Linked DNA regions of Drosophila melanogaster. The gene in region 3 interacts genetically with the main gene of each other region. Each region holds a gene or a part of one and is shown on either strand. Other genes may lie near its edges. The genes, in order: para, jus and shakB.

Region 1 (7,873 bases), 4.3 Mb from region 3:
CATATTTGATTCAACAACAGACATTTATAACAGTTATTGTCACGAAAGCGCTTTCATGATTGTGGAAATCGTGTAGTCGAATTCAAAGCTTATTACTGACAATTGCGTTCAGAGAATATTTCAGTGCCGTGCAAATCCCTAAAGAATTGAGGTTAGATAGCAGATAATAATGGTTTAATTTGCATATTAAGCAATTTTAAGCCAGATTATGTTAGTAACATCATTTATTTTACTTGCTTTCTTAGATCAAGCAACTTAGGTACTGTCAAAATTGTTTAAACATTTATGGGTGCCACATTACAACGAAGGATTCATTTTTTATGTGCCTCTTGCCGAGAACTTGCAAGGACCTCGTCGAAACCGAAAGGACACGCAATTGTGGCCCAGAATCGAAAGCGAAAACTTTCCCTTCCTTGGCCAAAATCTATAAACTTTCGTTTATAAAACGCACTAGCTGTCATTCGTGTGCGATTGTGTGGCTTTCGTGTGGCTATTTGGCTATTTGTGTTGCTTTCGCGACTTCTGGTCGCTATAGAAAACCAAAAAGCTGAAAATATAGTGAAATGGCATGGGGAACACCCGTTAAAGAAAGTACCGATGTGTTAAGACCAGTCCAAATGGGTGTTACAATAACTTTGCGGCTCGTCCAATGCCCAGCGGGTTAGGCCGGTGCCATTCGGCCAACAGCCTGCCACCAGCCTTCCATCGTGCTCACCAGCTTGTCCCGGGGCGAAGGCTCCGCAGGACCCCCATACCATTGCATCCCATGGAGAGGGACGGAAGCCCAGCCGGAGCACCACCAGTCACCAAATGGCAGTCGCAGTTCAATCTGCCCCTGGGTTGTGCGTGTTCAATTGGCTTCCAGCCCCATTGTTGTTCTTTGCTCGCCCTTTGCCTGTTGTTGGCTTTTGGTGTAAAAAATTTACATAACCCAAATTGATGCATAAATAAATTATTAAATACGTGACGTGCAAATGGTCAAAAGACCAAGCTAGCAGCCATCGAGCAGCAAACGCAAGTCGAATAGCATGTGTGCAAGGCTCTGGCCTTTGGCTTCCATTGTGCGAATCCCAAGGGCTTGCAATCAGGACGCAATCCAATAAGGAGATTGTGCTCTCGGTAATATTGCCATCCATATGCGACCTGCGACAAATGTCTTATGTTACGCGAAGATCCTCACTGCGAATTCAATTAGGAGCAAGGCCAAGGTTCATGATCCAAACGAATTCCAAATCATTGGCTCCCATTATGGATGAAACTGTGATAAATAAACATTAGTCCCAAAGAGAAATTGGCAATTTAAAGGTTTCTAAGTACGCTATTGAGTACAACTATTGAGTGCCAGGAAATGATAAGTCCAAACTTATAGTATTACACACTTAAGAATGAAGTCAATTAGGTTAAATTTATAGCAAGCTTAAACGCTTCGAAAACAGTTTCCTGATTTAAAAGCATTATTACTCAAACTCCCACAAAAGCTGCGCGCTTTGGTGACCCCAATCCAGTTAAGACACACACACACACACACACAGTTAAACTCCATTGTTTTCAATTTGTTTATACATATGTATGTACTTGTCCATTTGTAAGGACATTAGGAACGCAGTTCCTTAATGTGTGCAAATGGGTGGGCTGACTGGTGACTTGGTGACTTGGTGACCCCGCCACCGCTGGGTTAGATAAAGTTCGGATAGGATCGATTGGTCGGTGTCCAAGATGGGGGGCCCCGAAAAGCGGGTCAGCATGATTTGCGATTATAGCTGATGCTCCATATTCTCGGGCCACATTAGTTATGAACGCAGTCGGACTTGACTTGACCAGTCCAACTGGTGCCAAACGCCCAAAAATAATGACCCACTGTTGCAATTTTCGGGCAGAGCAGAGCCGTGGAATATCAGCTTGATGACCTAAAAATAGAACAAGTGACCAAAGACAAATAAAAAAATGAGAGTCGGCGATGGCGAATAGTATGTGGCAAATGGCGGAGAATAGCGAAGGGCGAAAGGATAAGCAGCGAAAAACAGGGTGGCAAAGTAGCACAACAAAACCTGTGTTGACAACGACTTGGGTGGTTATATATGGCAAATGCTTTAGGGCGAAAAGGACTTCTCACACACACACAAACACACACACGCGCGAACTGCTTCTGCTCCTTTTCGCGGCAAATTCGGATAAAAGGAAGTCACGGCGAAACGGCGGACAACTGCCTGGTTCGCCCGAAAACGGAGTTACCCAGAGAGGAGGAACTTTTTCAGTGCTCAGTGCTCGACTTTTTTCCGCATCCTTGTGTCCTTTTTCAATACTGCTCTGCGTTTCACGTGCGCGCGAAAATTGCATAAACACAAACAAGCCGCGACTCGCTGCCTCGACATTTTTTTTTACAGTGCATCCAATCCAGTGAGACATTATCCTGCCAATTGAGTGCTCATTTTACGTTTTTTTTTTCGTGTGTCTAAGTGAAAGCCATCAAGTGTGTGAATACAATTTACAAGCCCATTTTAAATATCTATTGAAGAAATATAACAAGTTTAGTAGAAGGAATCAAATAAACTAACGACATAATTCACATAATTGGCACAAGGACAGCAGAAAATCTAACATATAAAAAGAAATAAATATTAAAAAAAATAATTTCAAGCCATTCAAACAATACTAGGGGGTGCTTTTAGTGGGCCATACAAATTATTCGAAATTTTTTCTTCCGATAATATTTTTTTCAATTTTTTTTACATTTCTGTCACCTTTTGTGAATGAGTTTTCCCATCAAATTTTCCAATTTAAGCTGGGTTTCAACAACTTGTTCGCTTTTCCGCAGGCGACGCTGACGAAATTGAAACTAAAACCGAAATAAAATCTGCAAATAATAATAATAATACTATTAGTCATAATACGGAAAACCAATTATAATCATAGCAACAGTTGAGAAACCAAGCCGAGGCAAACTCATTTAAATATCCCAGCCAGGTAGCCAGATACTAGTAGAAATAATACAACAAATAATATTAACATTAACTATAAATAATAAATTGAAACAGCTCTGGGAACAAAACGCAACGTTTGATGAAAATTTCTGGCAACACGTCTTGGTTGTTGTTAAGCACGCAAAAAAATTAAATAAAAAAACCAATTCAAATACCCAATGATAATGCAGATTTAACAAACAAAACCAAAACAAATAAAAGCAAACAAAAATACAAATATAAAAAAAAAACCAAACAAAAAAACCAAAAAACAAAACAAACAACAAATTCATCTTCTACTTGTTCTACCGCTTCAACTTTATTCGTCTTCGTCTCCGTAATATATATATATATATAAAATATACATATATATATATTTATATATATATATATCTATGTATATGTATGCATATGTGTGTGAGTGCGTCGCGTGTGTGTTGGTGCCTGTAAATGTGTGAGCCACAACAACAACAACTACAACAACAGCAGCAGCAGCCAGAGCCACAACCACAACAACAACAACAGTAGTTAACAGCAGCAACAATTCTTAGCAGCAGCAGCAACAACAACAATACAAGCAAGCACGCTCACAACAAAAGCAGCAACAGCAACAACAACCACAATAGCAACTACAGCAACAACAACATCAGCGGATAGAGCGAGCAGCCAGGCACAACATCGATAGACATCGATTAACGGTAGGTAATCGAAGGCAATCGAAAAAATCCATTTAATATGTATTTTATTATCACATTCATTGCACTTTTAATTATGCTAATGATATTTAACCCTAAACAGAGGAAAAAAAATCGTGAAATTTTTTATTTGTTGAGTTTCAACTATTTCCGATACCTTGAATGATTTATTCTTAAGACTAAACGATCTTTCGAGTCTAAAAGAACCACTTTTATGATGAATTCTTACAATTAACACATAGTGGAAATGTATTGAAAATAATTATGTTATCTATGTTAGAGCAAACAGGCTAACAATGTGTTATATTAGAAATTCTCAGCTCTTACTTAACTTACTTCTCAGCTCAAAACAAAGTCATTAATTTACTTTTCATTTTGGTCAAAGAGAACTACATTTTACTGGGTCAATGGTTCAACTTTCATTGAAAGTTTTTAAGAAACCCACATTTGGTATTCCCATCGATTGCAATTTTAATATAGAATACCAAAAAGGGCAATTTACGCTGCACGTCAAATGAGAATTTAGAAAGCAATTGTGTCTTTCGTATGTATTTCAATATTTGAATAGCTAGAAAAGTGTGAACGGAGCAGTGGGCGACTTGATGAACTTGGCTCGATTATGTCATGCCTCCTTGGTGAAAATCCCAGTTAACCAGGCCCGACCTCAAGACCATATCAATGGGGTATCTGCGCCCCTTTTTGTCCCGCCCACTGGCACGCCCCTTTGCTTTTGGGCTACAACCTTTTGCTGGCTTTTGGAGGGCAAACTTTCAGCTGCCACAAAAAAAAAAAAAGAACAGAGCAGAGCAGAGCAGAAAAAAATGAATGATGAAGGTTGAGGGGGGGGGGTGTTTCTAACGGAATTCCTTTGCTCACGCACACATTGAAAGGAGGTTCGTTAAGAGAGAAGGGAACCCAAAAATGTATTGTTGTAGTCCGTGTTTGTTGGCGGCATCACACAGAGAAGTGAGAGCGCAAGAGAGAGGGCACTGGCTCTCTCGGCGCAGGCAGGAGGAGAGTGAGAGTCCTCGCTCTCTCGCCAGCCCATTGCGCTCTCCCATGCAAAATTCATTGACTAACAACATGCTAACTTCGTTCAGTTTTTTGCTGTTTCTGTTTGTTTTTTTTTTTAGTTTTTTAGTCCTTTCCTTGCCATCGAATTTTGTTCAACAATTAATAGGGTAGCAGATATTCTGTGTTATATTGCCAAATCGATACCTTGGGTTGGCTAAGGAAAACGTTTTGCGTTTCGCTCATGTGTTTGTCATGTGTCATTTGCATATTGACACAAATTCCGGCTCGGGTTGTTTTTTATTTCAATTCTTGTTTGCGGTTTTTCGCATGACTCATCGACCCAGCGAATGGCCAAAAATTAATTCGGCAAACAGAATTTTGCGAGTGTCATGAATGGAAACAGACACACATAAATATATGCTCATATTGGCACATCCACTGCCACTCTGTGTGTGTGTGAGAACGCTACCCTATGCTTCATGCCTCCGTGTGTGTGTGAGTGTGGCGAAATATCGAACTGACCTACTTTTATGCTCGATACACACACACACACACACACGCACACACACTGGCGCGCTCACACATACACACACGCAGCCAGATTGGCAAATGGAAAAAGAGTGCTTTGACCTTAGCGGAGGCTGCTTATGTAAGCCCAATATCCGAAGACCGCAGGAACATCCGTAACCGAATCTAGATTCAATTCTCACATTTTCTGTAGTAGCGGTAGAAGGTAGTGTTAGACCGTTTCAAATAAATGAAGTGCTTATAATATTATCTACATTTTAAAAATCATAATCGTATTACCTATTACTAAGCTATCTATGTAAGTCAAATCCAAAATTTATACAAACAAGCAAGCGGCGTCAATAAAGTCATACGCATTAAGGCTCAGTTCAGTCAAGTCAACCACTTTTCACAAAAAATCGTTAAAAATCGTTAATTTCTTCGAACGTCGCTATATTAAAAAAACGCAAGGCTCAATTCAGTCAATCCTTATCTATTCCAACTCTGAGTAAGCGAGCAAGCGAAAAGTGTGTGAAAATGGCTTGGAAAATGCTCTTCGCCATTTTGTTGCTGCTGAGTGCGGCCAAAACCGGCTATTTGGCCCCGGAGTCGGAAAACTCTGTGGAGGATGTGCAGATAGAGCCCGGCGCCATCTATGGCGATGAGAAGTTTGCCTACAAGAGTCCGGTGATCGATGCCGAAAAGTTTTACTTTGCGGATCACTTCGACGACGTGGAGGCATCCCGAAAGAGATGGGTACTGTCGCAGGCCAAGAAGAACGACATCGCCGATGAGATAGCCAAATACGATGGCATCTGGAACTGGGAGTCTCCGCAACGCATCTTTTGGGCAAACGATCTGGGTCTGGTGCTCAAGTCGAAGGCCAAGCATGCGGCCATAGCCGCCCCCTTTCGCCAGCCGTTCGATTTCAAGTCGAACAAGCCGCTGGTGGTGCAGTACGAGCTTACGTTGCAGGAGGGTCAGGACTGTGGCGGCTCGTATCTGAAGCTTTTGTCCGCCGGAAAAGGCACGGAGCAACTAAATCGCTTCAATGACAAGACACCCTATACCATCATGTTTGGTCCGGACAAGTGCGGCAACAATTTGAAAATGCACTTTATATTCCGGCACGTCAATCCATTAAATGGCAACATCACCGAAAAGCACTGCAAAAAGCCAAATGCCCGTTTGGGAGTGCCATTCACGGACAAGCTACCCCATCTCTACCAGCTGGTGGTCCGTCCCGATAACAGCTTTGAGATTCGCTTAGACCACAAGATCATCAAAGAGGGTTCCCTGCTGACCGACTTTGTGCCACCAGTCAACCCACCGGCGGAGATAGATGACCCCAATGACCACAAGCCAGAATCGTGGGATGAGCGGAAGAAGATCCCAGACCCCAATGCCCACAAGCCCGAGGATTGGGACGAGGATGCTCCACCACATCTGCCCGATACCGATGCCGTCATGCCAAATGGCTGGCTAGAGGATGAGCCCGACATGATTTTCGATCCAACTGCCATCGAACCCGAAGATTGGAATTCCGAAATCGATGGCGAGTGGGAGGCTCCTCTGGTGGAGAACCCAGTGTGCAAGAAGGCCCCCGGCTGTGGCAAGTGGAAGGCTCCGCTCATCCCCAATCCCAACTACAAGGGCAAGTGGAGTGCACCAATGATCGAGAACCCCAACAACCAGGGCAAGTGGGCTCCCAGGAAGATAGCCAATCCAGACTTCTTTGAGGATCTGAAGCCCTTCCAAATGACGCCAATCAACGCTGTGGGTCTGGAGCTGTGGTCCATGTCCAGCGATATTCTCTTCGATAACCTGATCATCACGGACGATGTGGAGTTGGCCCGTGACTTTGCTGCCAACAGCTTCGACATCAAGCGTCTCTACATCGATCGTGAATCATTCGGGAATAAGGTAGTCGAGCTAGCTAGGGCCAATCGAGCGATCTGGGGCATTGTCATAGTGGCCATTGCGGTGCCGGTTGCCATTACCATCTTCTGTAAATTTGGTTTAGGCCCGAGTAGGGTTGCGGCTGCCAAAAAAGCTGCTGCTGCCGCGGCCAAGAAGACCGACGATCCTCAGCCCGATGATGACCTGGGGGCCGAGGAGGAGGAAAAGTTGGAGAAGGGGAAGAAGGAGGAGGAAAAGAAGGAGGAGGAGGAGGAGGAGGAGAAGGAGGAGAATAAGGAGGAAAAGAAGGAGGAGGAGAAGGATGACGAGAAGGAGATGAAGGATTGCGAGGAGGAGGAGGATGACGAGGAGAAGGATGACGAGGAGAAGACCGACGAAAGGGCCGCTGGTGATACCAACAAGGAAAGCACACCGCTGTCCGCTAGTCCCAAGAAGAACCAAAAGTCTTATTTAGATAATAACGAAGATGAGGAAGACACATTAAAGAACAAGGAACCTACCCCAAAAAAAAGGAAGCGTAAAGCACTCAAGGAGTAAGCGGGCATCCGTAGTCACTGCAACTCTAAATAAGAAACTAAATCGAATTCCAAGATCCAACTGTTGCAGAGCACCAACAACCAAATGATCAAGCAAACGTAGATTTTAAACATGTTCTAATTTCGCCAAAAGAGCCGACATCTCGATCAAACTACACACACACACACACTATCCCACAAACACACAGACACTATTTCACAAACACACACACACACTCTCCCACACACACACACTCTCCCA
Region 2 (7,985 bases), on a different chromosome or scaffold from region 3:
GGCTTTGGGCGAGTGGCACATATAGCCACCAATGCGGAAGGAAAATGCGATTTTTCCAGGCTTAGTCACTGGAATCCACAAGCTCTGGAATCCATTTAGAGCGGCGTGAAGTGGCGCTAATCGAGTGCCGTTGGATGGTCATTGGTCATTATAATGCCTGCAACGCGCACTCCATTGATCACGCACGAAAAATAAAATATGTGCCGCTTGTGTACTATAAATAGAACATGGTCTAAAAGGTGGCATACACTCAGAGAAATAATTGCTATGAACAACCTAATATCATAGCTCTGGCGAGTAATGTTACATCTAACTTTGAAGGAGACAGTTAGTTAGTTATTTGTTTGAATGCAGATATTATAGCAATATCGCTATTTATATGAAGTATGCCATTATAATTTCTCCCAGTGCACGGCTCCACAATCGCTGAGCCAAGTGTCGGGGGTGATAGAGTGGCATATGCACTTGCCATGACATGGTTAATGTGACAACGACTGTTTGCACAGTTTGCTTAATATTCCACACGTGCTGCCGCACATATAAAGGACTATGTGGCTGTACACATGTAGGATAATGAGGGTGTCAGAGGTCGACTTTTCGACTCCGGGCCACTCGACTCCTCGGTTCTGTGTCATCAGCGAAACGGGGCCAGTCGACCGCTGGCAATTTTATTATTTATCCTGGAGGTGAACACACACACACACCCACACACACAGCGAAAGCCCCAGAGATGCGGCATTTAGTTATCCTTAAGCTACTTAAAGGACAGCCTCACCTCAGCAAAATTAATTAGTGCACTTAAGCTAACCGCGCCTATGGGAAGCGCTGTCAGCCCTCGAAAGATCTAGAAGTATTTGCCCGAAAATTAAGTATACGCCGTGGCTAGCGCTGTACTTCATTGGCATTCATGCGCTGACCCACCGCAGCAGCCATTTGCCAGGGGAAAATCAAGCAGATAGTTTCGAGCAAAAGGATTCAAATGTCGAAGCGAAACGATTTTCCAAGCAGCCAAACAATTTATCTTCGCAGCGCCGGCGCTGGCTGGCCTATAAAAATGGCAATCATTATTATAGTCATGTACCAGGCAATGGGGCGTTACGGCAATCAACGCCAGCGTCCCCGCCAGAGCTCCATAAATAAGCGCGCAATTTCAATTTTCAACAACGCCCCAAAGGAGCTCATACTCGAGCTGAGGAGGAGCTGAAGAGGCCCGAGAAGCGAAAACCGGAGACAGACGCAGGCCGCATCGAAGATTATATGGTATATGGCTTATATGGTAAATGGCAGGCCGTGGTGTGTATTTAAATGCATTTTTTAATAGCCATAAAGCGGGCAGCTTGTCGGCCTAAACGGGAGGAGCACCAAATGCCAGCGGGCGCACTTAAAGGCCTCCTCCATGCGGATTTCGATTGAGAGTCCGCCTTGGATACGGATACTTGGCCGGGACAAGGACGAATGCGCAACTAAAACAAGAGAAGCCTCCTCGTACGGGGAACGTCGTATATAAATTATAAACGCAAACTGTGCGACAAGGATTTCTGGTTGGGTTTTCGGTTTGCTATACGGCATGTCTGCTCTTTCTACTTCTTTTTTTTTCAGTTTTATTTCTGCCGGTCGACATGCGATTTCGATGGCAAATGATTTTGCATTTGCCTGAGCGGTGGCGTGGGGCTGTGGGGTGGATATGGCGTATAGGGCGGCAAATCGAAGCATAAACGGGCATGCCACATGGTGCAAGTCGAAGGTCAAGGGTCATGCCGGCAGTCGGATCTCCTCGAAATTTACTGCAACACTTGCCGCCGGCGCAAAGGCATCACATTGTGGCATATATACTTTAGTTGTATTTATAGGCTGGATGGAAATTGATGACGTCTCCATCGGCAACGCCCCCCTGCCAGCCACATATATCCTCGAGATCCTTCGGCTGCGCGATGTCATGCCGCATGCAGATTGTCGTGCAGCTAGTAGCGAAGTAACTGCCACTGCAATTGGAGTTAGTTCACTGAAAGAAAGGTGATCCTAAAGCGAATGATATAGAAACAGAATATCGGAAAATGTAACCAAGTAAAGGTTTTTAAATAGATAGAAGATAACTATCCACTACTTTCTTCTGAGCTTTGCAAATGTATCTCAATCTAATCAAGGGTTTTAACTTCTTCCAAGTCTGAAAGATTCTTTAAATGCAGCTGACTTGTTCGTGATCACAGTTACACCCTTTTTCTTCAAGTGTTTGCAACGGCAACTGCCGCAAAGTCTGTGTTAGCCGGAATCGATCCGAAGGAGGAGCAGCGCAACTCGAGTCCTTATAACTTCACCTATACTGTGCATGTGCACATTCGCCAAACTCTGTGTGTATATGTGTGGCAAGGCGAGTGTGATGGTGTGAGTGGAGGCCAGACCATGTGCCTATGCCGTATCCTTACGCCTATGGATATGCCACGCGATGTGATTGTGAATGCGAAAATGTGGCGACGTCGAGGGAAAGTTGTGCTCCCAGCGAAGTTCGCTTTGGTTTGGTTGGGTTCGGTTCGCAGTGGTTTGGCTTGGCTTTGTCGGGGGGGGCTGCTGGCCCCAAAGCTTCTGGGCCAGGATGACGTAGTCCTCCGGCTGAAGTGTGTTAGTATGTCTGCCCTTCCGACTTGGGGTTGCACACACACACCAGCTCACAGCGTATCCATACAGGCGCAACGAGGGTGCGAAGGGGCATTAAATGGTTCGTGTTTTCCCTGCCCTTTTTCATATTTTCATTTGTGCCTCATCTCGCCCGTTTGTCGCCCATATTGGGGTCGCCTGACGGTTCGTACTTTAAAAGCGCCATTTAGTTCGCGCGCAGCCTAAATTATTAAAAGCAAATCCAACACACCGCACACAGGCAGTTCATTAAATTCAATGTATGCAAAATAGCGGCAACAAATGCGGCAAAAGGCAATCTTCCGCCACCCACCCACTCGGCCATCCAGCTGTTGTCATTTTCGAGCCACGAGCCTCAAAAAAGAAACAAGTTTGCGAGGCAAGCTCATCATAATCATGTGCCTTCCAAATGCAGGCGGAGAAAAGTGGGACACTTTTGCAAGAAAAGATGAGAAAATGTTTGAATTTCATCAGTGCTATGATGATATTTCACACAAATCATACTTATATACATACGCAGCAAGTCACATTTCACGAATGACAAATTCCATTGCCTACTTTTAGGCACTACCACAACTTTAGGCACCACATTGCTTTTAAATAGCCATAACTTTAAGATCTTTTATAGATTTCTGATTAGTTCAACTCTTTTCTGGTTATGAATTGTGTTTATCACAGTTTCCCCCCACAATTTGAAACTACTGCAGCGAGTTTTCGCTGCGTGTAGCAACTTTGCTGCGCAAATATGTTTCGCCAACTTCAATTTGTGTCCCAGGTAGTAAGTTTACCGCTGTGTGCGTATGTTTGAGGGGCATGCCGTGTTACTGTTGCCATCGCTGTGTGTGTGTGCGAGCTTGGCTTTTTTATGCGTCACGTGAGAATTTCCTTTATTATTATTTGACTTGGCTACCTCGGTACATATCACGTATACGCAACGTATAATTCCGCAGAAAGGGCATTGATTTTTTTGATTTGCTTTCAGTTCGGTTCGCCATTCCCCCCTTTTCGTTTATTACTTTGATTGCTTTTCACTGTTTTCTTCGTTTTATTTTTTTGTTTTTCTTTTTTTTTTGGTTTGAGGGCATGGATACGCTGCAGTTTGTGATTTTCTTTGCCCTGCTCAAGAAGAAAAATATTTGCTTGCCATTTATGTATATTCTGTTTTCATCTCGTTTTTTTTGTTGTTGTTTGTGTTTGGCACTTTTGGGCATTCGTTTTTTATTCTTGTTGCACGCTGTTCGGTTCATCACCACATTCACACACTTACACACTCATTCACTGACTCACACACACACACACACTCACGCGCGTAAGAAATATACTACTAAAATACAAATTGCTCACAATTTCCTTTGCTCTAGATAGTTGTTGTTGCTGCTGCTGCTGCTGCCTCGCACTGTTTGCTTTCCCACTGGATTTTCTCGGAAAACTCGACGACCACGCGCTTCGACGTCTGACCACGTTCTGAGCCGAATTTCCCACAGCCTTGGTGGAAAATGCGAATGTGGCGTTGGTGAAAAGTCTGCGAGGAAAAGTCACCATCAGGCGGCAGCCGCTTTTCCTCTCACAGGACCTGCGCATTTCCCGCCTGCAGGTGACACACTTTTCCGCGCCAACCGTCGCCGATGAAGTGGATTTTTCGACCCCTCCTCGGGCCACCGCTCCATCCCCCCCTCTGAGCCCACAAGCTCCACTATTTACATGGCACATCGGTTTAAGGCGGCTGGCAGTTTTCCTTCGTTTGCCCACTTTTTTCGTACTTTAGGTTGAAGTAAATTTCGCATGCATTGGCCGGAGGATGGATGCACTGAAAGAAACACATTACCAGCTTGCATATTATATATATATTATATATAGATATTAATTGATAAAATATTTAGCTTACTTATATTTTTAAACTCTATGATAATGGCATGACTTGATGCGTTAAAGTTTTGTAAATAGTGTATTTTATATATAAAAAAAATCAAAAATATCAAACAAATATGAATAGATTAATTCATAATAAAATGAAATTCTATAATATTTTTAGTATATTTTTCTCTGTGTAGCGTAACAAGACCTGGTGTGATGTGGCGCAAATGTCATTTTCAATGGCCGAAAATTTCGGTATGCTGCTGCCCAGTGCAGGGAGTTGAAAATTCGCATTCGCCGCATCCATAATGGATGATATGTCCTTTCGGCCCGCTGATCCTTCGGTTAAAGCAAAGCCACCGGGTTAACTGACCTTTGCAGTGCGGCCAACTTGAAATGCAAATAAGCGCCAATGTCCAATTGTAAAGTTCAGCAATCTAGAGTATTATTTATCACGTTTCAGCACAAACACATTGCCAAAAGCAAACAATTTAGTTTTGTGCGCAAAAGTTGCTGACGCTGGCACGTGCAATTTGAATAATTAACCGAACATTTTAATTAATGAAACAAGTTTGGTATTGACTTGGCCCAAAGTGTGAGTGCGTGTAGATACACACACTAGCACTTAAAAGTGTGTTTTGGCCCGAAGTGTTGTTGGTCATTTGCGCATTTATTAAATTAGAATTTGTGTGCCATTCGGTATGCTGTTTGCAGTGCTTGTGAATAACAAAAAAAAAAAAAAAAGATAATTAAAGTGAGCAGAAATAATTGGGCACTTTATTTATATTTTTTATTTAGTTACCATTCTAGCTATAAAATATGCTGCGAAAATAGGAATTATAAAACACATAGCTGTGTTGTGTGCCATTTGTTATAGTTTAATTGATAATTATTTCGCATAATTATTTCTCTTAATGAGTATAAACACTATTTTAAAACATTCCGAACAATTTATAAATGAAAATTTAAGCAAATGCTTAAAGTTAAAGAACTGACTTAATTATTCCATTTGTATTCCAACTGACAGCAGCTGTTGCAATTATCCCCCTTGCCAAAAACTAAAGTGAAAATGAGGTGGTGGAAAACCATATTCCACGAAGGAATGGCGTTGGCGGATCCCAGAAAGGAAACCGCCGACTGAAGCTGTGAAATGCGAAACGCAGCGGTATCAAAGGGGGAAAAGCGAACTGCCAGAAAAAAATCACAACTGAGAAATCAGAAAAAGGAAAAACCCAACCGGAGCCAACTCAATTCAGCGAAATCAACGCCAACGGCGGCTGCCTGTCAATTAAAACATTAAAACGCGCTGAAAAATGCAGCGAACAGGCGCAAAGTAAACAAACTGCGGAACATGTTGCAGTGCGGACAGCATTTTCCAACATTTTCCAACATTTTCAGCGATTAGAAGCATAGAATTTCGCAATGGAGCACTTAGAGCAGCACCAGAGTTTCGGGCCCAGACCACCAAACCGAGCAAAGAAATCCGATTCGTCGACCAGGGGAGGGACTAATGTGTGACCCAGTTTGGATCACTGTGCAGGAAAGGAACTCTGTGTGTTTTGGCCATTTGCTTTTTGATCATTAAAAACTGGTTGGCCGCCGCCAGCTGAGCGCCCCACTACATTTGCGGTCAGCTTAATAGCACCGCTGCGGCCATAAATTAGTCAAAGAAAATCTATTGGGATGGCAGCTGGCATCTGTCAATGATTTATTCTTGACACATCATTCCGTGTTAGTTCTTTTAAGAATTAAAAACCAAATAAAATAATAGTAATGATTTACGGTTGGGTCTTAGTGCAATTGTTTAGTAAATAAAGTTATCAAAGGCTATTAATTACTATTTATCATAACAGTTGATCAACAGCAAAGAGTTCTGGAAGAAAAGCGTGGAATATTCGTTTATATTTTTGCATATTTTTGAATATTTTTTTAAACAGTACAAATAACTTTTTAGAAAAAGTTTTATCGTAGTCAAGAAAAAGATGATTTAGCGCACTGACTTCTCCAATAGCTGGCTTTCTTGGATAGCTAAACGCTCCTATTCAAACACCCCCGACTGTGGCTATCTGTCCACTTGAACCGCCCGCCCATGTCTTCGGCGGCAGCGTCGCTTGTGGCATTGCCGCTTGGGTTTATAAGCGGCCGGCGATGGCGGCGGCGAGCCGAGTTTCAGCGTCAGATTAGCCGAGAGCGCGCGCGTTTTTTCCCACGATCAGGAAAATCGAATTCCAGAGCCATGAAGGATCGATTCAAGTGGTTGTCGCTGGAGCTGCTCCTGCTGATAGGCGCCGCAGTCGCCTTTCCGGACGGCGCTCCGGCGGACACGTGCGTGAAGCAGCGGGCGAATCAGCCGAATCATGGCAAGGCCCGGAGTCAGCCGGCTCACTCGAATCCGTACGAGGTGGTGGCCGATGCGCAGACCTACCATCCCGGCCAGCAGATATCGGTGGTCATCTACCCGCACTCGGACCAGAGCACCGTCTTCCGGGGATTCTTCCTGCAGGCGCGTGATGCCAACTCGAACGAGTGGATCGGCGAGTGGGTGCAGAGCGAGAACACCAAGACCATTCCAGAGTGCTCGGCCATTACGCACTCGGACAACCGGGACAAGCTGGGCGCCAAGCTCATCTGGAAGGCACCGCAAAATAAGCGGGGACAAGTCTACTTCACGTAAGTTGGAAGTTATAGGAGGAGTGGGTTAATTATATAGCTCAAGCCAATGGAATTATTAGAAAGATCTAGAATCTATAATCGAACTAACTTTCAGTGTTAAGTAGTGCTCTTACAGTCACAGCAAACAACTTAAATGCATGCAGAAGTTTCACTACCAACTTAATAAAATAAATGACCGCTTAGCACCCATTTTTTCGGACAGTTTCAATGAAGCACTTTGTCAAAACTGGCTTCGTACAACGCAGTTCGTGTCTTCTATGGCCCATCACCCTCATAATAATCATCATTATCATCGGAGGCGACGGTGGAAGTAGCATAAGCCGTGGCAACATCATTGTGCCTCGTGAAGGGATTCATTAATCATACGCCACGTTGACCCACATAATGTAATGCGCGCATAATTGTCAGGCGGACAAAAACTTGCCGGATAATCGCACAAAAGGCATTATGTAATTGATTTATTTGGAAAGAGCACACCCCTCATCAATGGTCCACAAAAAAAGGCATCAAACGGCAAAGACGCCGCACAGTGACAAGCTCAAAAAAGCCAAAGAAAAGCTGTCAATGCTTTTTATGCAACTTTGTCAACTTTGTCGGCAGATAACACTGGCCAACATAGACAAGTGCCAACTGTGAATTAACCACACAAAACTTATTTTCCGGACACTTGTCTCATTTGTCATTCTACCAAAACCAAAATATGCAAATATGGGTATTAATCACAAACAGACAAGCAAAGTTTATGGACACATCTTGCACAAGATCTGAAATCAATCATCATAGTACACTAAGGGAATTAATGCACAGAATTATAAGCTATAAAATGT
Region 3 (7,654 bases):
GCTTTAATTGATGCATTCAGAGTTATATTATCAACATTATTTTAACTATTTCAAAATAATTGGTTAAATAATGTTCGTCATATTAAGCATTTTAAACCCGCTACTTGTAGAATAAAAGGGTATACTACATTCGGTGAAAAGTACGTAACAGGATGCGTTTCCGACCATATAAAGTATATATATATTTCTGATCCCACTCAATAGCCGACTCCATCAGTATGAACGCCTCGATCTTAGGAACTATTAAAGCTAAAAAGTTTAGATTAGACAGGAAGATTCCGAAGGCATAATAAATCAGGCCAATAAATGAGGTCAATAAATTCACGAATTTTTGAAATGCCGCATAATCAGGGGATAATTTGCTTTCACACTTTCAAGAGATCACGATACCTCATAGCATAAACGTTGTAATAGTCGCAGTACTCGACTAAAGCGTTGCTGTTATTTTTTGTAATATGCCATTTTATTCCATGCGAAAGTGCTAACAACTTCCCTTATTTCATTATCCTGCTCTTCCATTTTTTTTGTCATAGCGTAGATTTTCCATAATCTAAGCAGCACTTTAATAGACATTTTCCCAGATTTTCCCGGCAGTTCACTCCTTGATAAATACACTCACGTAGCCGGTTGGTGAAACGTCAAAGTCAATAAGCACAAAAATTTCGAAGGCAGTAGGTTTTTTCGCTTCCTTTACCGAGCCATTACAACATACAATCAGGCGGATCAGACAGACGACGACATCGAAATCGAAACGTGGCTACAACAGCTAGGTGAGTGAGTGGCGGCTTTTCCGAGCGCTGGTTCGCTTTTTCACCTGCGCAAAGCACGCAAATACCCAAACACACACTCGCATTACGCGCAACTTTTTAAAAGTCAGGCAGAAAAATGTTTTTTAAACGCTAAATTACTTTTGAATGGCAGGAGGGCGTGGCGGCGCCTCGTCATGTGGGCGTGTCGGAGCGCCAGCGTCACAATTTAATTTTGTGCTCCCTCATTTGCCCTGCCACCCGCCCTCCCCTCGCCAGACGCTTTCCCACCGCTTTTCCACGACAACAACAAGCGCTTTGTCACAAGAGGGGCGCTTTTTTTCGTGTAGCGTCTGAAGAGCGGAAATGCTTATCCCAACACTTGAGCGTCACGTGCTGCCGTGGTCGCTGCTGCGGCGACACCGACACACGGATACCCTAACTGAATGTATGCGAATCGATCGATATGGAAAGCAGGCAATAGTGGTTATGAAGGGTTTACTGGCTATTGGTTACTGGTTAGTGTGGTGATTACCAAGTGAGCGAACTGAAGAATCGGCATGGTTAAGAAATTAAAGAAGAAGATTTTTAATGGTAATAGAGCTTATATAGATTATACGCCGAAAATCGAATTCAACTTTTAAATCGGTGCTCATCAGATCATATTGGGTCTTGAAAATTGAAGGCCCATTTTTGCCATATATTAATCCGTATTCAAAAAGTGATTATTTCTTCATATCTATTGAATTTGACTCTATTAATTTGTTTCCCTGACATTTACGAAGGATCTGCGAATCTTCCGGTGGCCCCCCAGTCGCTGGTTTCATTTGAATTCCTCGCTTTCGGCAGTTAGGGTATTTAAATCTGTCCGGCCTCAGACTTGCCAAACTGTGCCACGCAGATACTTTCCCGCGCAGAAAGCGCCTAAGGTCGTTGTCGTTGTCGCTGGAAAAGTGGAAAAGCGAGGAAAAGCGCGAGACAGGTAGTGGGGATGGGGATGGGGATGAGGATGGGGCAGAAGGTTGGTGTCTGGTGGCTGGGGAAAACACCCTGTAGGTGTTTTGAATGTTTAGCTCAAGTGGCTTTTTAAAACACATTCTATGCTAATTAAGGGCCCGGGCTTGGGCATAAATGAGTTGTCGGTGACGTTGACGTTGCCTGTCGCCGTTGTTTGCATTTGATAAGCCAAGATTGTTGCCAGCCAATGTAATCAATGGAGGGCAGCGGAAGGAAGCTCCACCATCTTACCATCATACCAACATACCGCCAAGCCATCGCCATCATCGCTCATTGCGTAATCCTCGAGGAGCGGTGGCGAAAGCGCAAACCCCATTTAATTAACGAATTAACAAAGCCAGAAGTTTCTGTGGTTTTTAAGTGATTTCGGGTCGCCCGAAGGCAAACATTTTGCGGCCTTGTTATGGCATAATTGAATTATTGCCATATGAAAAAACAAAATATGGGCTAAGACCCCAGTCAAAACGCCGAACCCAAAGACCCAAAAACTCAAACCCAACTGGCAGCCAAAAAAAAAAGGGAAGTCGATGGCAAAGTTTCTTGTTCGCTTTCTTATTTTTCCTTCACATCTCGGGCAAAATAAATCAAGACTTTTGGGCGCTTGCAAAAAAAAAAAATATATATATATTCGGAAAACGGAAAAATGTGAGGAAAAGCCAAAAAGTCGGCGCCAAATTGAATTAGGGCTTTAATGGCGAAATTTGTGGGTGAACTCCTATACTTAATACTCGTATTAATGCAGCTCATTAAGAATTACTAAAATTTGTATCGGGCTGGAAGTTCTTATCGACAACCCTTTTCCTAAATACCTCTAAACCGCACCACAACCAATGCTATTGTTATGGAACGTTTTCCCAGTGGGCTATGTTTGGATAAGTTTAAGATATGGGCTTTTTAGCCCGTGGGCTTTAGCTGTCAAGGCTCAATAGATTTTTGTTGTCGATAGGAGTAGGAGGTAAACACGAGGATCTACATTTCTCTTAAATTTGTAAAACTTTTTCAACTTTCAACAGCCATGTTAATTCAACTGGTCTTCCTGGGCATCCTATTGTGGGCGTCCTTCTTTTGGCTGCAGTGCCGCTACCTGGATGTCCTGGAACTCCTCTTCGCCTGGATAGGCAATCAGTTGGCGGAAACTCGCAGGAGGCGAGCTCGCGAAGAACGGTGCCGCCTGGGCAAAAAGTGGGCGGTCGGAAATAAGGGCGATGGCATGGAGAAGCTGCTCTCGCCGCCGATCAAGAATCGTCTCAATATCCGAGTGGAGCAGTGCTGCGACTTCATAACCGCCGGCTTGGGCTTGGTGCTCGAGGACGACGTGACCCAGAGGTTTGTGGCCCCACCTTCGCCAGCTGGGGAATGGAATCTGCTGACCCGCAACCTTCGTCAGAGGAATCGATACCTCAGCTGGCGTTTAAGGACGGTCTGGCTGCTGGGCTGGGTTGTACGCTACGGACTGCTTTTGCCCTTCAGGACCATTGGCTGCTGGCTGTGCCTGTTCATGATCAGTGGAGTCTCAATGCTGCTGGGTCACATTCCCGACTGGTGCTTCAAGAAAAAGTTGGTGGAGCTGGTATTGCGGCAGTGCTTCCGAATCACGGCCGCCTGCCTGCCGATGATCCGCAGATTCCACAACACGGAGTATCGGCCCACCAAGGGCATCTGTGTGTGCAATCACACGAGCCCCTTAGACGTCCTGGTGCTGATGTGCGATGCCAACTACTCGCTGACGGGCCAGGTTCACACCGGCATCCTGGGCGTCCTGCAGCGCGCCCTGTCGAGGGTCTCCCACCACATGTGGTTCGACCGCAAGGAACTGGCCGATCGTGAGGCTCTGGGTCTGGTGCTCCGCCTACACTGCTCCATGAAGGATCGGCCGCCGGTCCTGCTCTTCCCCGAGGGCACTTGCATCAACAACACCGCCGTAATGCAGTTCAAAAAGGGTAGCTTCGCGGTCAGCGACGTCGTTCATCCAGTGGCCATTCGATACGATCGCCGATTCGGCGAGGCCTATTGGGACAGCACCCGTTACTCTATGCTCAGATACATGCTGATGGTGGTCAGCTCGTGGTGCATTTGCTGCGATGTTTGGTACATGCCGGCACTCAGCCGGTGCAACGACGAGTCCCCAGTAGAGTTTTCGAATCGAGTGAAGGCCGCAATCGCCGCCCAGGCGAATATCGATGATCTGCCCTGGGACGGAAACCTAAAACGCTGGAGTCCCGTCAGGGACTGGCAATAGTTCAAGCATAGCTTAGGTTCTTACCTTGGCTATTTCATATCGCCGTTTGCAATACCGTACGCTGTTGGTATATTGATTGTATGACCCTTTTGATACTAGTAAATCGATCGATATATTTTAGAGAGCAAAATGTGATAAATTCACTTATTTTACTGTTCTCTGGCCGCGAAGTGGTGGAGCAGCTAATCTCGATGACCAGAAGGGAAGACCCCTTGCATTCTGTAGGCTATTCTATAAACCAATTATTATATGCTTTTCTATCTCTTGATAGCCAGACAACTGATTGATTAAAACAAAGCTATTAAATGGTTAAACCGGATGCTGTGTATCCACTTATAAAAAGTTATTCTGTCGTAAGTCCTTTGGATCTGACCCCAGATAAGCACTAACTAGATATGATATACTAGACCTCTCATGACATATGACTCTAGTCCCTATGGTGGTGGTGACCTTATAGATAGCGAGGACCTACCGTTTTGGCTGGACAATCTTTCTTTCTCCGTGGCGAATCGAGGCGTTGGGCCCGTACCTTCCGAGGAGGGCGCTCTGCGACTGGGAAACGCCGCCGGCGGCGGAAGCGGACGCCGCGGTGATCGCCGCAAGGCCGCTGCGCAACGAGGTGCAGGTGGCTAGATCCCGGGGGTGGGCTAGCCCGTAGGCGCCAAAGGCCGACTGCGAGTGGACCGCATAGTCGAGGCCGGGTAGCTCCAAGGAGGCGATCGGGTGAATGCGGGTCAGTGAAAGCGTGCTTTCGAGCACGGTGCTCAGGAGCGGGGCGCTGCGCAGGGATCTCAGGCTGCCGCGGCGCGTGAGCGTGTCCGGCTTATACATCCGGGGTTGGGGGGGCCGGCCGACCCCCCGCCGCCGCCTGCCGACCGCCTAATTGCTTGTCACCTCCTCTGCTCCGGTTAGTAATTGCCGTAAACGGTCGGTTAGTCCGGCGTGCGGGTCATTCGCAGCAGTCGCTTTATGACCAATTACGCTGTTTAGTGAGCAAAGCGCGCTGGTCACGCAACTATTTAGTCGTCGTCTCCTGCTCCCTATATTGCTTACTTGCTTTTTTGCTAACTTGCTCTACTGCTAATCTGCTTGCGTTCGCTTCCTTATCGGTTACTTGACTGTTTGATTTTTGCTTTGGAATAAGGCTATCTTGCTCGGTATCCTGCTTGCTATCTTGCTTTCCTGCTATTCTTTTTGTTATATCTGCTTGCTTGCTAACTTGCTTTGCCTGCTAGCTCTTCTGTCTGCTGCTTTCTTGCTTTCCTCTTCAGACTAGTCTTCTTCTTTTGGATCCTGCTTTCATCTGCTGGTTCGCTTTCTTGCTTCTGAAAATATCTATTACGTGCTTTTGCTTTTCTCGTGCTTTGCAGCTTTTGTTAGCCTACGAATTCCTTCTTGCCTTACCTAACTTTACTAACCTATCTGATTTGACTATTACACTACTTTTGCGTCTTGGTACCTTTTCTGCTGCTTTCGATACTTTTGCTTGGGCGCTTTTCAGCTGCGTCTATGCTTTTGTTTTTGCTTCGCTTTGTCTCCAGTTCACTTGCGTGCTTTCACTTCGCTTGCCTGTCTCACTGCTTGCCTGATTTCCTGCTCTCCAGCTTGCCTTATTTCCTGCTCGCCTGCGTGCCAGCGTTTTGTTGGCACAAATGCTCGTACAAATTGCTCGTCGCCTTGTTGCTTTTGCTGCTGCTCGTGTCGCCAGTTGCCGCTTTGCTTTGGCTGCTTTGCATACAAGATTTGATTTGTCAGATTGCAGATTGCCATTGCGATAGGGAATGGACACGCGGGAGTTCCCCTGCGGGGTTGCGCCTGACTAAACGAATATGCTGAGTGGGTGGGCAACTGGGTGGTGGGGGTGGCAAGTGCTCAACTAATTGATGGATGGCGAGTGCAACTCGCCCTCCGACGCGCCACATTTGCAACGAGTGCATTCGCGGCAGCTGTCGGCTAAGTGATTCATCGAAAGCAACTCTGATTGATGGCACTTGACACTAGTCGCTAATCACTAAGGGCTATTCAGTAATCAGCTCGACGCGCTAATGAGTATTTCACTGAGATCCCTAAATCACTTACTTTGTGGGACATGCATAATCTAGTTCCAAGTTCCTACAGTTGTAGTATAAGTTGTGGTAAAGAATTTATTTTATGGCCCTTAATTTTTTTACTCTTTTAAACTTTACGTTTTAGGTATTTTTATCCTTTAAATTTACTTTATAAATTAATTATAAAATTCAGATTTTCACATTAAGAACTCGGCTAGGTATTAAAACCAATTCTGGCAGGTAATCAACAGGTAAATCATATAAATTGAATTTCTCACGGCATCTTCGTAATGAATAGTGTTTAATCACGAAACAGTTCTGGATAACGTGTTTAGTTCCAATTAATAATTCACTCATCAAGATTTCTTGGACGTGATTAACATGCTACAGCAAAAGCAACTGTAGTCTCAAGTAAGCAAAGTAGAATTGGTTTTTGGAGATGTGGCTCACAGCAAGGAGATCCGTAAAATGTATGGAAACTAGGTTTTAGACAGGGAATATACATATATACAATTACCAAATATAGCTATCAATGTTTGAAATATGAATTTTACATTCATAAAGATCTTCTAAGAGTAGGAAGTGCTCTTCCTTAAAACTTTTGAATGTTTTATGATGCGGCAAGAGTATTAGTCTTATATGTATGACAACTATATTTTGACGAGGGATAATATTTACAGTTCACTTATAACTAATAGTGCTTACAATGCATATCGAAGTTCCACGAAAAAGAAAACTCTAGGTCAGTAGACTAAAGGTATCAATATTTTTGTAACTTCGATACTTTTAGGCCACGGAACTCGAGTTTTAAATTAAAGTGAAACCACCTAATAGATAAAATAGATAGTATGATAGTATAAGCTAGACTCACTTGTGTCAAATCTAAACGAACGATGATGAACGAACGTTGTTCTTGATAATGGCAATGTCATTGGCAGTGTTGGGGGCGTTATGCTGTTGTTTCTCTTGTTATAGTGGATTTTCTGGTTGATTTCGTTGTTGTTGATCTTGAAGATTTTCTTTTGCGGGGCAGCCCCCGGCCGCCCTCTCACTTTTGAAGTTTCCCCACTCGATATTCCACGCCGCCTCTTTTTCCTTTGTCGGTAAACACTGAGCACTGCACTTTCTCAATTTGGTTATTCGGTTTTTGTTGTTGGTATTCGGTTTTTGGTTTTTACTTTTATGAAACTAGTTTTGAGTATTTACAGTAATGTGCATGTCTTAATCGCTTGGTATTGTATTTCTGCTTTTTACTGATGATGTAGGGGACAACGATAACCGAGCACTGTGGCACGATTGATTTACTGATTGGGTGACTGACTGACTGACTGACTGATTGATTGACTGACTGACTGATAGAACCTACGTGTGACGTAACGAATCAAATGGGCAACCACTCCAATCGGGTCTCGTGATCGCAATCCTTGCGCCCAGGGTTGTTCCTGACTTGTCCAGGGTTGCCAGCTCTTTCTCTGGCCATTTGCCACCGGGACCAATCCATGGCCTTCTTCCTGGGTCCTTCAGCGCCTTTACCTCCTTCTCAGCCCCCCGGAATCCGGAAACCGAATCCGAATCCGCTCACTCACCGCCGCTTGCACATTTGT

What was found.
Region 1: of shakB (region 3) and para, changing one suppresses a phenotype caused by changing the other (phenotypic suppression), as found in Drosophila melanogaster (one study listed by BioGRID).
Region 2: of shakB (region 3) and jus, changing one suppresses a phenotype caused by changing the other (phenotypic suppression), as found in Drosophila melanogaster (one study listed by BioGRID).

Annotation. Positions count from the first base shown.
Region 1 is NC_004354.4:16,523,062-16,530,934, reverse strand, and holds the start of para (paralytic), read left to right. Parts: upstream 1-3,520; 5' UTR 3,521-3,658; intron 3,659-5,519; exon of another isoform or gene 5,520-5,713; coding exon of another isoform or gene 5,714-7,633; exon of another isoform or gene 7,634-7,873. Other genes in the region: Cnx14D (calnexin 14D), read left to right, coding at 5,714-7,633. UniProt on the Drosophila melanogaster protein: Mediates the voltage-dependent sodium ion permeability of excitable membranes.
Region 2 is NT_033777.3:29,190,913-29,198,897, forward strand, and holds the start of jus (julius seizure), read right to left. Parts: upstream 4,082-7,985; 5' UTR 3,976-4,081; intron 1-3,975. Other genes in the region: CG14515 (uncharacterized protein), read left to right, coding at 6,722-7,155.
Region 3 is NC_004354.4:20,821,514-20,829,167, forward strand, and holds the start of shakB (shaking B), read right to left. Parts: upstream 4,944-7,654; 5' UTR 4,834-4,943; coding exon 4,475-4,833; intron 4,129-4,474; exon of another isoform or gene 4,003-4,128; coding exon of another isoform or gene 2,779-4,002; exon of another isoform or gene 2,777-2,778; intron 771-2,776; exon of another isoform or gene 633-770; intron 1-632. Other genes in the region: CG15450 (uncharacterized protein), read left to right, coding at 2,779-4,002. UniProt on the Drosophila melanogaster protein: Structural component of the gap junctions at electrical synapses in distal and mid-depth levels in the lamina. Isoform Lethal forms voltage sensitive intercellular channels through homotypic interactions.